Linked DNA regions of Schizosaccharomyces pombe. Changing the gene in region 1 together with any one later gene gives a genetic interaction. Each region holds a gene or a part of one and is shown on either strand. Other genes may lie near its edges.

Evidence for each region. A genetic interaction does not mean that the proteins touch.
Region 2: mutations in mga2 (region 1) and vph2 together harm fitness more than expected from each alone (negative genetic interaction), as found in Schizosaccharomyces pombe (2 studies listed by BioGRID).

The regions. Positions count from the first base shown.
Region 1 is NC_003424.3:4,123,126-4,129,324, reverse strand, and holds mga2 (IPT/TIG ankyrin repeat-containing transcription regulator), read right to left. Parts: upstream 4,243-6,199; 5' UTR 4,114-4,242; coding exon 658-4,113; 3' UTR 520-657; downstream 1-519. Other genes in the region: protein Gid5, read right to left, coding at 4,807-6,199.
Region 2 is NC_003421.2:66,401-70,028, reverse strand, and holds vph2 (V-ATPase assembly protein), read right to left. Parts: upstream 1,778-3,628; 5' UTR 1,499-1,777; coding exon 1,076-1,498; intron 1,013-1,075; coding exon 794-1,012; 3' UTR 550-793; downstream 1-549. Other genes in the region: SPOM_SPCC757.11C (transporter), read left to right, coding at 1-388; RNA-binding protein Rnc1, read left to right, coding at 3,344-3,628. UniProt on the Schizosaccharomyces pombe protein: Required for vacuolar ATPase assembly.

The DNA.
Region 1 (6,199 bases):
TAAGGGTTATTCAGTTTTATTTTACCAATAATGAATTTGTTTCTTTATCAAGCAAAAGAATGACCCACTCCTCAATCTTGAGGTTATGAGTGTTCATGGCTAGCTATTAAATGGATCGCCGTAAAGTCCTTAAGCTGAGCGCAGTTGTAAAACTTTAGACATATCCCAGTTTCTGCTAGGCTATTATTGAAAGAGTTTGCCGAGTATCAAGATTTACTAGTATTATAATAAGCAGATCGCATACCGGTTCATGCCAATTGGTACTTAAAAATTTTAATGTATGCGGTTCATCTCGAAAACTCAAGACGCTTACTTTAGCTAATCTAACGTTCAGTTTAGAAAAAGAATGCAATGCAAAAAGCGATAGCTTATTAAAAGACTTTCCTAAGGTATTGCATTCACGATCCAGAACAGCAAACCTGCAACGATCTATTTTGGTTTTAAAAGCGCCAACCTGCTCTATGCGTTTAAACCCATGTAAGTTTAACTTACAAAATAAGCAATTACTTTCAATATAATAAAAAATTGATCCAATCGAATATAATATATACGATTTCATTGTCATAATACCTAAGTTTTGACAGTAGTTTGCTCATAATCTACAAAAAAGAATAAAACTAAAAGAAAGAAAAAAACATGCATGGTTGTTCGTCAAACCTAAATGCCAATTATGCAGCGATATAAATATCCCCCGATCATTTGAGCATAGCTTCGAAGACCAAAGATACTCAGCAAAAGTAGGGCAGGTAACCAGAAAGAGAATAGCATAAAGTCCATTCCTGCCTTTTTCAGTGTCTTTGCCTGCTCCTGTATTGCTCTGGTTTCTTCAGGAGTAAGAGCAGTAGATTTTCCACGACCAACAAGCCGAGATTGCCATCTCAAAGACCACCAAACACTTTTGTGATGATCGGGATCTTCAGATATAGCGCTATCTCTTTTACTAGAACCAGCTTGCGCTGTCGTATCATCAGCAAACTCAGAATAAGGAGGGGGTACATCATCGGGAATGGCCGATATACTTTTTAAGGTTGACAGCATGGCTTTTTGCATCATGGATGGAACTTCACTCATATAATTCTGAGGTAGTTCTTGAAGCGATGGAAACATTGTAACAGTTTTATTCCACATACTTTCACTATATGACTTGGTCTGAACAGCAGATTCCTCAATTTCGTTAACAATACTGGTTGATTCTAAGGTTTCATTTGTATTAATGGAGCCTTCAGAATCCTTAATAAGAGAGCGAGAAATACTTTGGGCTTGTTCATTATTTGCTTCCTTAAAGACCAGTTTTATAGGCTCAGAAGAGGAGAGGTCTATCGGTTTTTTACCGCTAGCTCCTATAACATCAGGCTTGGCACCGTTGGAAAGTAAATTAACACATATGTCTTTATGATCATACAATGAAGCATAATGCAGTGGTGTATAGCCAAGTGCGTCCCTTTTGTTAACATCGCATCCTGCGTTGCATAAGAACGTCGAAGCATTAGACAATCCACAGGCAGCAGTAAGGTGGAGAAGTGACCTACCAGATTCGTTAACAAGACTAAAATCAGAAAGGTATGGTGTCGTTGTATCTGTAACAAGAGCAAATGCTGCGAGGATAGTACTTTCAACACTGTCATCAGACTGATTACTGTCTTTTTTCACAATCCGCGAAATAACCGATTTAAGCGATTCCATATTGCTATCATGCAATAAGGTTTTTTTAGACTGACCTTTAGATTCACTGTTAGGAGGCTGCTTAATAGAATTTGTTATATATTGAGCAAAATCGTCGCGCCATGAACTCAACAATTTTTTGGATAACGTTAATGGGTTTTGAATAGATCCAGTAAGTTTTAAGCCTAAAACTTGAACAGTTAATTTGTAAAGTTCATTATCTAAATTATCTTCATAAGTAAACATTACTGGCGCTTCAGAAGATGAATTATAGTTCTGAAAGGTTACAGGAACGGTTCCAGCATTAGTTGCAGGAGGACAAGTCGCTATAATCGTTGACTCACTCCACGAAAAAGTTACAGCAGCTGGGTTGTCACCAAATAAACAGACTAATCCATTAAAAAAGTTCGCGCCAAGAATTGTAACTTCATAACCTCCCATGATTGAACCCTTATTAGGAATAATCCGAGATATTAAGGGAGCATGTGAAACATCAGGTGGAGTCATGTTTATAAAAGAAGAATCAACATTTTCTTTTATCGGCGTACTTACAAAATCAGGTTTAGCAACCTCATCAAATTGTGTAAGCAAGTTGTTGACACTACTTTTTTCTTCAACGGAAAACGAGAAATCATCTGTACAGTAAGGGAATGGGGCTATTGGGGCACTTTCATTTGTATGGGCTTCAAGCACTCCTTCCTCTTGCTGTTGTCTTTGTTGGAAACCAGCGGCATCGCTGGGAACTCGAACAACATGGAAACCATTCTTTGAAATGGAAGGACTTACGCCGCTTGGGGTAGTCATACTCAGCACAGAAGGGGATTTGCTCATACTAAAGGCTGAGCCCTCAACACTTTTCAAAGTGCTTTTCGAATTAGGTGAATGCGAGTCACTAGCAGATAGTTGTATGTCGAGTGCTCTAGAATTTTCACTCGAGGATGTTCGACGACGCTTTTCATTTGGTGGATTATCTGAACGGGTAGGGAAACCAGTGACAAGATTGGGGACAGTATTGCTTTTAGAAAGAACATGGTTTGAAGGAGCTTGTTGAGAATTGCTCTTACCAGTCTTTTCTGATTTCGTAAGATTTCTACTTTTATGATCATCAAGAACGGTAACAGGCTCTGGAAAAACAAGACGATCCACCAAACGTGACATGGAGTATAAGTCCCATATGATGTGAAAGTAAGGGCATGATTGATGAGACGAGTAACATGTAATCCGTGCATTGATGTGAGCAACTCTTTCATTTCCATCCAATTGCAAACGAACGTACTCAGGTCCAGTAAAAACCATTATCATTCTATCTTCATCTATGTCTTCAAGTTTGGGAAATTGATTTAAGAGCTTGATCCTGAACTGCTGCTTTTCTTCGGGAGAGGCATCAGTCATGTTACGCTCATAAGCCTTCAGTTTAGTATAGTTAGGCATACAAGCATCCTTTGTTGCTTGAGATCGAGCATTGCGCTTCCTTTCTCGAAGTAAACAGCGAGTACAGCAAGTCTTAACAACTGAGCTTTTGTCACCTGCAAGAACGGTAGGTACAAGATGAATGACGGTCTCCGGATCGGGTTGCAAAGGCTGAGGTTTCGAAGAACGCTTTTTGTCTTCACGGTGAGCCCAACTTGGCAAGCGAAGATATTCAAACGGAACACTTTGATTATCGTTGCTCTTGATCCGCAACTCAAAAAGCATGTTAGTTTCCACCCGAGATTTCCATTTGTGCTCATTGATAGCTGGTAAATGATTAACTGAGAACGCGTACTCCTTATTAGAAAGAGGCGGTGCAGACGTATTTAAAGAGGAAAATGCATAATCTTCGGCATATGGCGTAAGAGTATTAATAGATTCGTTGAAGGGAGTTTCCAACATGGTAATCGGCTGTCTAAACTGTAATGGATCTTCGATGGCGCCCGATGACTTTACAGAATTAAATCCAGCTTCATAAGGTGCTTGTTTCATAGGATCCATTTTTAAAAGATAAACATCCGACTCTCCAAACATGGGATTATCTCCCAAAGGTTGATCAACGGTATTAGCTAGAAAATTAGCATCAGAAATAGAATGTTGCGGAGTAGGAAACACCGTTCTGTTCAAATGCAAACTAGGATTGATGTAGTCTTGCTGACGATCAGACGGTAAACATTCCGCTTCATCTTGTGAATTCGATAAGTTAGGTGAACTGGCATGGGATAAAGACGGAGGAGCTATACTAGGCAAATTTAGACCTTGATCCGGCAATCCATCGAAGTTAAAAAATTCACGCATTTCTGCATCGCCGTTTCCGGCTTTTTCAAAATCGGGAGAGGAAAACATATAATCATCAGAGGAAGACCTCCCCTCCTCTGAACTAAATTTCATGAGCTTGTTTACTTCCCAAGTTCCTTCTTCCTTAGTCGAATTCTCGGTATTTTTGGCGATCAAATTTCCAAAAGAAAATTCTAAATTCATCTTGAGAGTACTTTGAAATGCAATAGACTACCTTTATAAAGGCAATTCTTTCAAAGAATTTAAAGGTCTTTAATGTACTACTTCTTTTCAATTCTCACTTTTGCTTTCCTCCTCGATTAGTTGGTTGTTGGAAGCTGTCGCTGCGCTACTACACTAATCTCTTCCATCACGTTGTGCAAGTATTACATGCTTTCCACTTGAGCACACATTCTCTAGTATTACTCTTATTTTAACAAGTTATTATGTTATATTTATTTAAATAATTAGTTTGTGGGTTTTGTTTTTTAGTTCCGCCACTTTCTTCATATTCGATTAATTTCCTTTCGGCATTATATACCAACAAAAAAATTCCCAACATTCTGATAAATTTAGTAGAATACATGTAAATGAAATTGTTCTTGTCAAAGTACAACTTTCCTTAAAAAATTTTTACAATGTTAAATAGGTTTTTACACTATCCCGCATACATATAAGTTGAATGTTCATAATACTTATTTTATTCGTTTTGATAAATCATTAAATCTTTTTATATACGATCATTCTCAAAGTACTTCAATCCAACAACCTGTTAACTTCAGCTGCAAGAGTTGTGCACACATTTATACATACAGAAATACTAAATGCGAAAATGGCTCCGATTTGTTAGACTGTTCCAATCAAGTCGGCAAAGACAACGGAAAAGCGTAATAGAAATTAATCGGTTACATTGATGTACATCAAGGCATCTTTGACACGTTCCCTTACATCAGGAGATGAGTGATTTTGTAGCATCTGCAAACATTCTCCAAATCCGAGATTTTGTAAGATACTTGCTCTTTCCTTATCTTCCTGGCTTGGAGATGTACATTGTTTGGGCCATAGAATGTTAATACAGAGCCAAATTCCGGCCAACAGAATTTCGGAGTTTGGTTCATAAGTGTCCTCTTCATAAATATCGAAAGGAGGACGCATTTCCCTATCAAAATCATCTTCTTGCAAATCCATTTCACTGTCACTTTCCGGAGATGACACATTTGTGGACATTTGCTCGGGCTTGAGACGTTGTGCTTCTTGTAGCATAATTTCCTTCACCAATAGTAGTAGTTTGGTTTGCCTTAGGATAGAATCCCTAAGCTCACCATCGCTGGCAGCGATGTGCACCAAAATGTAAATACTGGGTTCAATTAGGATAGGATTTTTACTTTCTAATTTTTCAAGCAAAATTTTTGCTAACAACTCCATAGGAACCATTTTCAAAAGAAAATCCACGCTTTCTTCTTTCTGACATGTAAAATTTCGCAGCACTTGCAACATTTGCTCTTGGACCCCCAGATCTTCGTCATTGCAAAGTTCCACAAGCTTTGAAGCACCGATCTTTTTTAAAGGTTCAAGCTGGATCGTCTCATCATCACCAAATACAACATGCCGCAGAACCCACACGGTCTTCTTTCTTAGACTGCTATCTTTCGTACTAATATTTGATATCAAAGTATCAATGAAATTTGTAGTAAGGAATTTCTCTCTCAAAGGAGAAAACTTAAGTACCAAGTTACAAATGGCAGACGTAGCAGTCGATTTGACTCTAGTATCCGGGTCAGAAAGCAACTTTATTAATGGTTCGCTCACGTCTGCATCGGCAAGGCCCGTACGTAAAATGTAAACGCTTCTCGAGAGACTTAATAAGCATTCACAAGCAGCCTTTTTCACGCTGTTAGAATTGATTTTCAAAGCATTAATGATAACAGGCAAATATTTAGCATCAACTATTAGTTTTCTGTATTCATCTTTAGAAGTTGTTAATGCAGCAACGGCTAGCAAAACTGATTCTAAGATTAGGTTTTTTTGCTCCTTTTTGGTAGCAGGAAGATTAAAACAAACGCTGGATTGCAATTCATCGGATAAAAAATTAATTTCATTCTCTTCTTCTTTAGTTGCGTATTCTAGAAGATATTTGGCAGCATCAATAAAACCTGCATTTACAGCCGTCTTTTGCATAATTTCGTTTTCATTGATTATGATGGCGAGAATACGAGGAGCGATTTGTTTTGCTTCTCGAGATTCAAAAAATAAACGGATGAGAATGGGAGTTACTATCATTTGAATCTCC
Region 2 (3,628 bases), on another chromosome or scaffold:
CTTGACTGACAGAGATATCATATTGTTGGGTTGTTGTTTAAACATCGTATGCATGGTTATTCATATAACTATTCACTATACAGGCAAGGAATTCGTACAACCTTACTTTATTATTTACACCCTTGTTTTTTTTGGATCTTCTATTGCTAATTCCCCTTCGGTCTCTTTATTGACAAAGGTTTTACATCCTAAGTACCACCTGATAGGTAACGTCGCTGTGCAAATATCAATTTCCTTATCCGACACAGTTGGTGCTATCTTTGGCGGTGCATTTCGCTCGTTCTCACCTGTTGTTTTTTTTGCGGTATGCTTAATATTAAACGTTATGTCTGTGCTTGCACTATTGATTATATGGAAGAAACTTAAGGTCAAGTTGCGCCTTGCATAATTCACTGGTAACTCAATGGTTAGGTTGCTCTCTATTTTTTTTTTTTTTTTTAATTTTTTTACAAGGGGGGGTTGATTTGTTGTTTATTTATAAATTTGTAAGTTGTGTTCCTTACAAATAAATCTAATACCAAATGGCTAATTAAATTGAAATAATGTTGCTAAATCTTTAATTATAATGAAATTAATTGATGAAATATACGTTAAAAGCCAAATGAGTTCGAATTTTTTATCTTAAATACTTTTTATTTTTTATCTATAGTGTGCCCATAGGTGCCTGCCCTTCAATTAACACATAGAGAGGTATGCCATTATGATCAATTAGACAAACAACCTATAAAAATCATCTACAGGAAAACATCAAAGGTACTTTCGTTAATAAAACATCTAAAAATTAAGAATATAATTATTGGTTCTTTTTTTCCTTCAAAGATGGAATGGCTCCCAGTTCTATAGCTAGCTGCTCATTTGACTGTAGAACAGGGTCATTTGTTGTCCATGTATATATTATTTGTCGAGTATGATTCTTTGAAGTTCGTACGGGTTGTGCAGATAGATAGCGGACATAAAGAAACGTATCTGCTACTAGAACCAAGATTGCTGAAAACGCACATAGCGCAATTTTCTAAATAATATTAAGTCAATACAAAGGTCTCCCAGGAACAAAACGAAAGTTTTTAATTCATACCTTTTCAATAGATAAAGATGAAGTGCAGTACCAAACAGCGGTCACCGTTCCTACTACTGTGAAGAGTATATTGATTATAGCGCTGATTTGGTTTTTCATTAGTCGTAACTCTGATTTTTTTTCTCTCTCAGGGTCCATGGATACGCCTGCCATTGATGGAAGCAGAGGAATACCATCATATAGCTCTTTCTCCTTTAAGATAGAAGTAGTTGTATTGTCTTGAGTATGGCTGTTTTCATCAATTTCGCCCAAGAAGACACTGTCGCTCGGCACAATCTGTACACCTCGAAGAAATTCCAAAAAATTGATATTCCTGTTATGTAATCGTAATTCCTTTAACATTTTTACCAGCTCAAATCCATCGACAGTTAATTTATTACACCGTAAGTCTGTCTGCTGTTTTTCGGAGAGCCTGTACAGCATTTTTGCAATAATGAGTCAATTTGACAATTTCGAAGGTATTAAAAAAGTAGAAGGGTAAGTAATAATGCTATGAAGTCTAGAAAGCAATCAAAAACGATTCATATAGTCCGAATTGCGTGAAACAGGATCAATCTAGGTTGGTTGACGATATTTGCTAAATTTCTATTGAGTTTTCTAAATGAAATAATTAAACCAATATTTTAATGTCTAATACTACGTTTTATATTGACCAACAAACAAACATGGAGACAGTGGTACATCCAAGTATTTGCAAAAGTCAAAGTTACGCAACGTAATACATAGCGTCCTATAAGAGGCAAAAAATGAAAATATGAAAGTTCCTCAACTTTTTTTGAAATCACCGTTTTGGTAATTAGCATCATAATTTTATTCTTCACCCTCGCTAACACTGTGCTAGGCCAAGCAGAATTGTAGACTTCCTCGTTCAGTGAGGTATAGAAGAATGGTACACGCTACTGTGATATTATATCTTTCTATGAAGTGACATAAATCTTGGTAACTGAACATTCAGTTTAATTTAGCGCCGCAATTGCTCTCGGGTATTTCATACAAACGATATTCAAAGATTATTTATTGGAATTTCAATATAATATTAAGAAGTAAATGCTACTAGCTTTGTTGGCTCTATGAGTTTTATATAACTTACGCAATTATTACTTGCGTCTATGGTTTCAAAATGTGTCCCAGTATGCTCATTCAGCGCTTGGAAAGCTAAAGGTTCAAGAATTTTTATGACTTTGGGTTGAATACTGAGATACTTCATGTTCAAAAATACCAGCGTTTCAACGGCGTTCAATTCTTCCATGTTGCACCATCCAAAGTACTTTTTTTTGCGAATTTATTTACGACAAACTTGGCTTACGTAAACTTTGGGGTAGCAAAATTCATATCGCCGCAGAACAGTTTGCAAGAACAAATATAAACCTAAAGAGGTACGGGTGAACAAATAGGTATTCGAATTAGGAAATGAAAAGTTCGAAGCTGAAGGAAGCTTAATTACGAAGACAGAATCAAATAAAGATAACTTCCTCCAGTATAGTTTTCATTTTTCCGAACGTCCATATCGTCTTTGCCTCTGCACCATTAAATTCGAATTTTTTCAACGATTTTCAAAGCTCACTATACCATATAACGTAATCTGAAGAAAGAAAGTTCCACTGATGCATGGACGCTATTTAGGTTTTTGCCCTTTATCTTTCATCTGATCTTACAAAGTCGCTTGAACCACGCTATCCTATATACCGAAGCAAAGGCCAACGAAAACAACTACGTTAATACCTGCTATATTGACTAAAAGAATGATATTTCACTTGGCAGCATTCGTTAGCTTTAGCTAGGAAATTTACGATTATTTAAAAAACCCATTCTTGTAATGCTCTTCTCATTTATTAATCTCATCATTTTCACTTCCAAAGATATAACGACTGAGGCGTAAAGCTACGCTACCACTTCCTATCAGTAAATTGTGCGACTTTACTATACGTTCTTCAAACTTCGTTATTTCCCCACCAAAAGACTTACTTGCAGAAAATTTTCTCTTTGTCACTGCTACACCCCGTTTACCACTACTCCGTTCTCCTTGGTCGTTTACTTCATTTTTGTCGAAGTAATCACAGCTATTGATTGCAATTTCAATTTATAAGAAACTGCAATAAGAGCTTAGAAGGAGCCTAATCCGTTTTCCTTTTTTTTTTTAATCTCCGCTAAATCCCTGCAGGTTTGAACTAATCAGTTTTCAGGAAGTAATTTAGAAAAGGTTCTACTCTCCTCCTAGAAACGCATATGTGTCCTATTCAATTAACCAATACTATTCCAGTGACATCTATGGCTTACAATCACTTCAGCATTCCTAAAAACATCGAGGAAAAAGAGAACTCTTTTTTTGACGTAACGTTTCAAGACGAACCCGACGAAACCACTTCTACTGCTACTGGCATTGCTAAAGTTTCCATACCTACTCCAAAGCCCTCTACACCTCTATCGACTCTTACTAACGGTTCTACTATTCAACAGTCCATGACCAACCAACCCGAACCAACGTCTCAAGTGCCTCCCATCTCTGCCAAGCCACCGATGGATGATGCCACCTATGCTACTCAACAACTTACC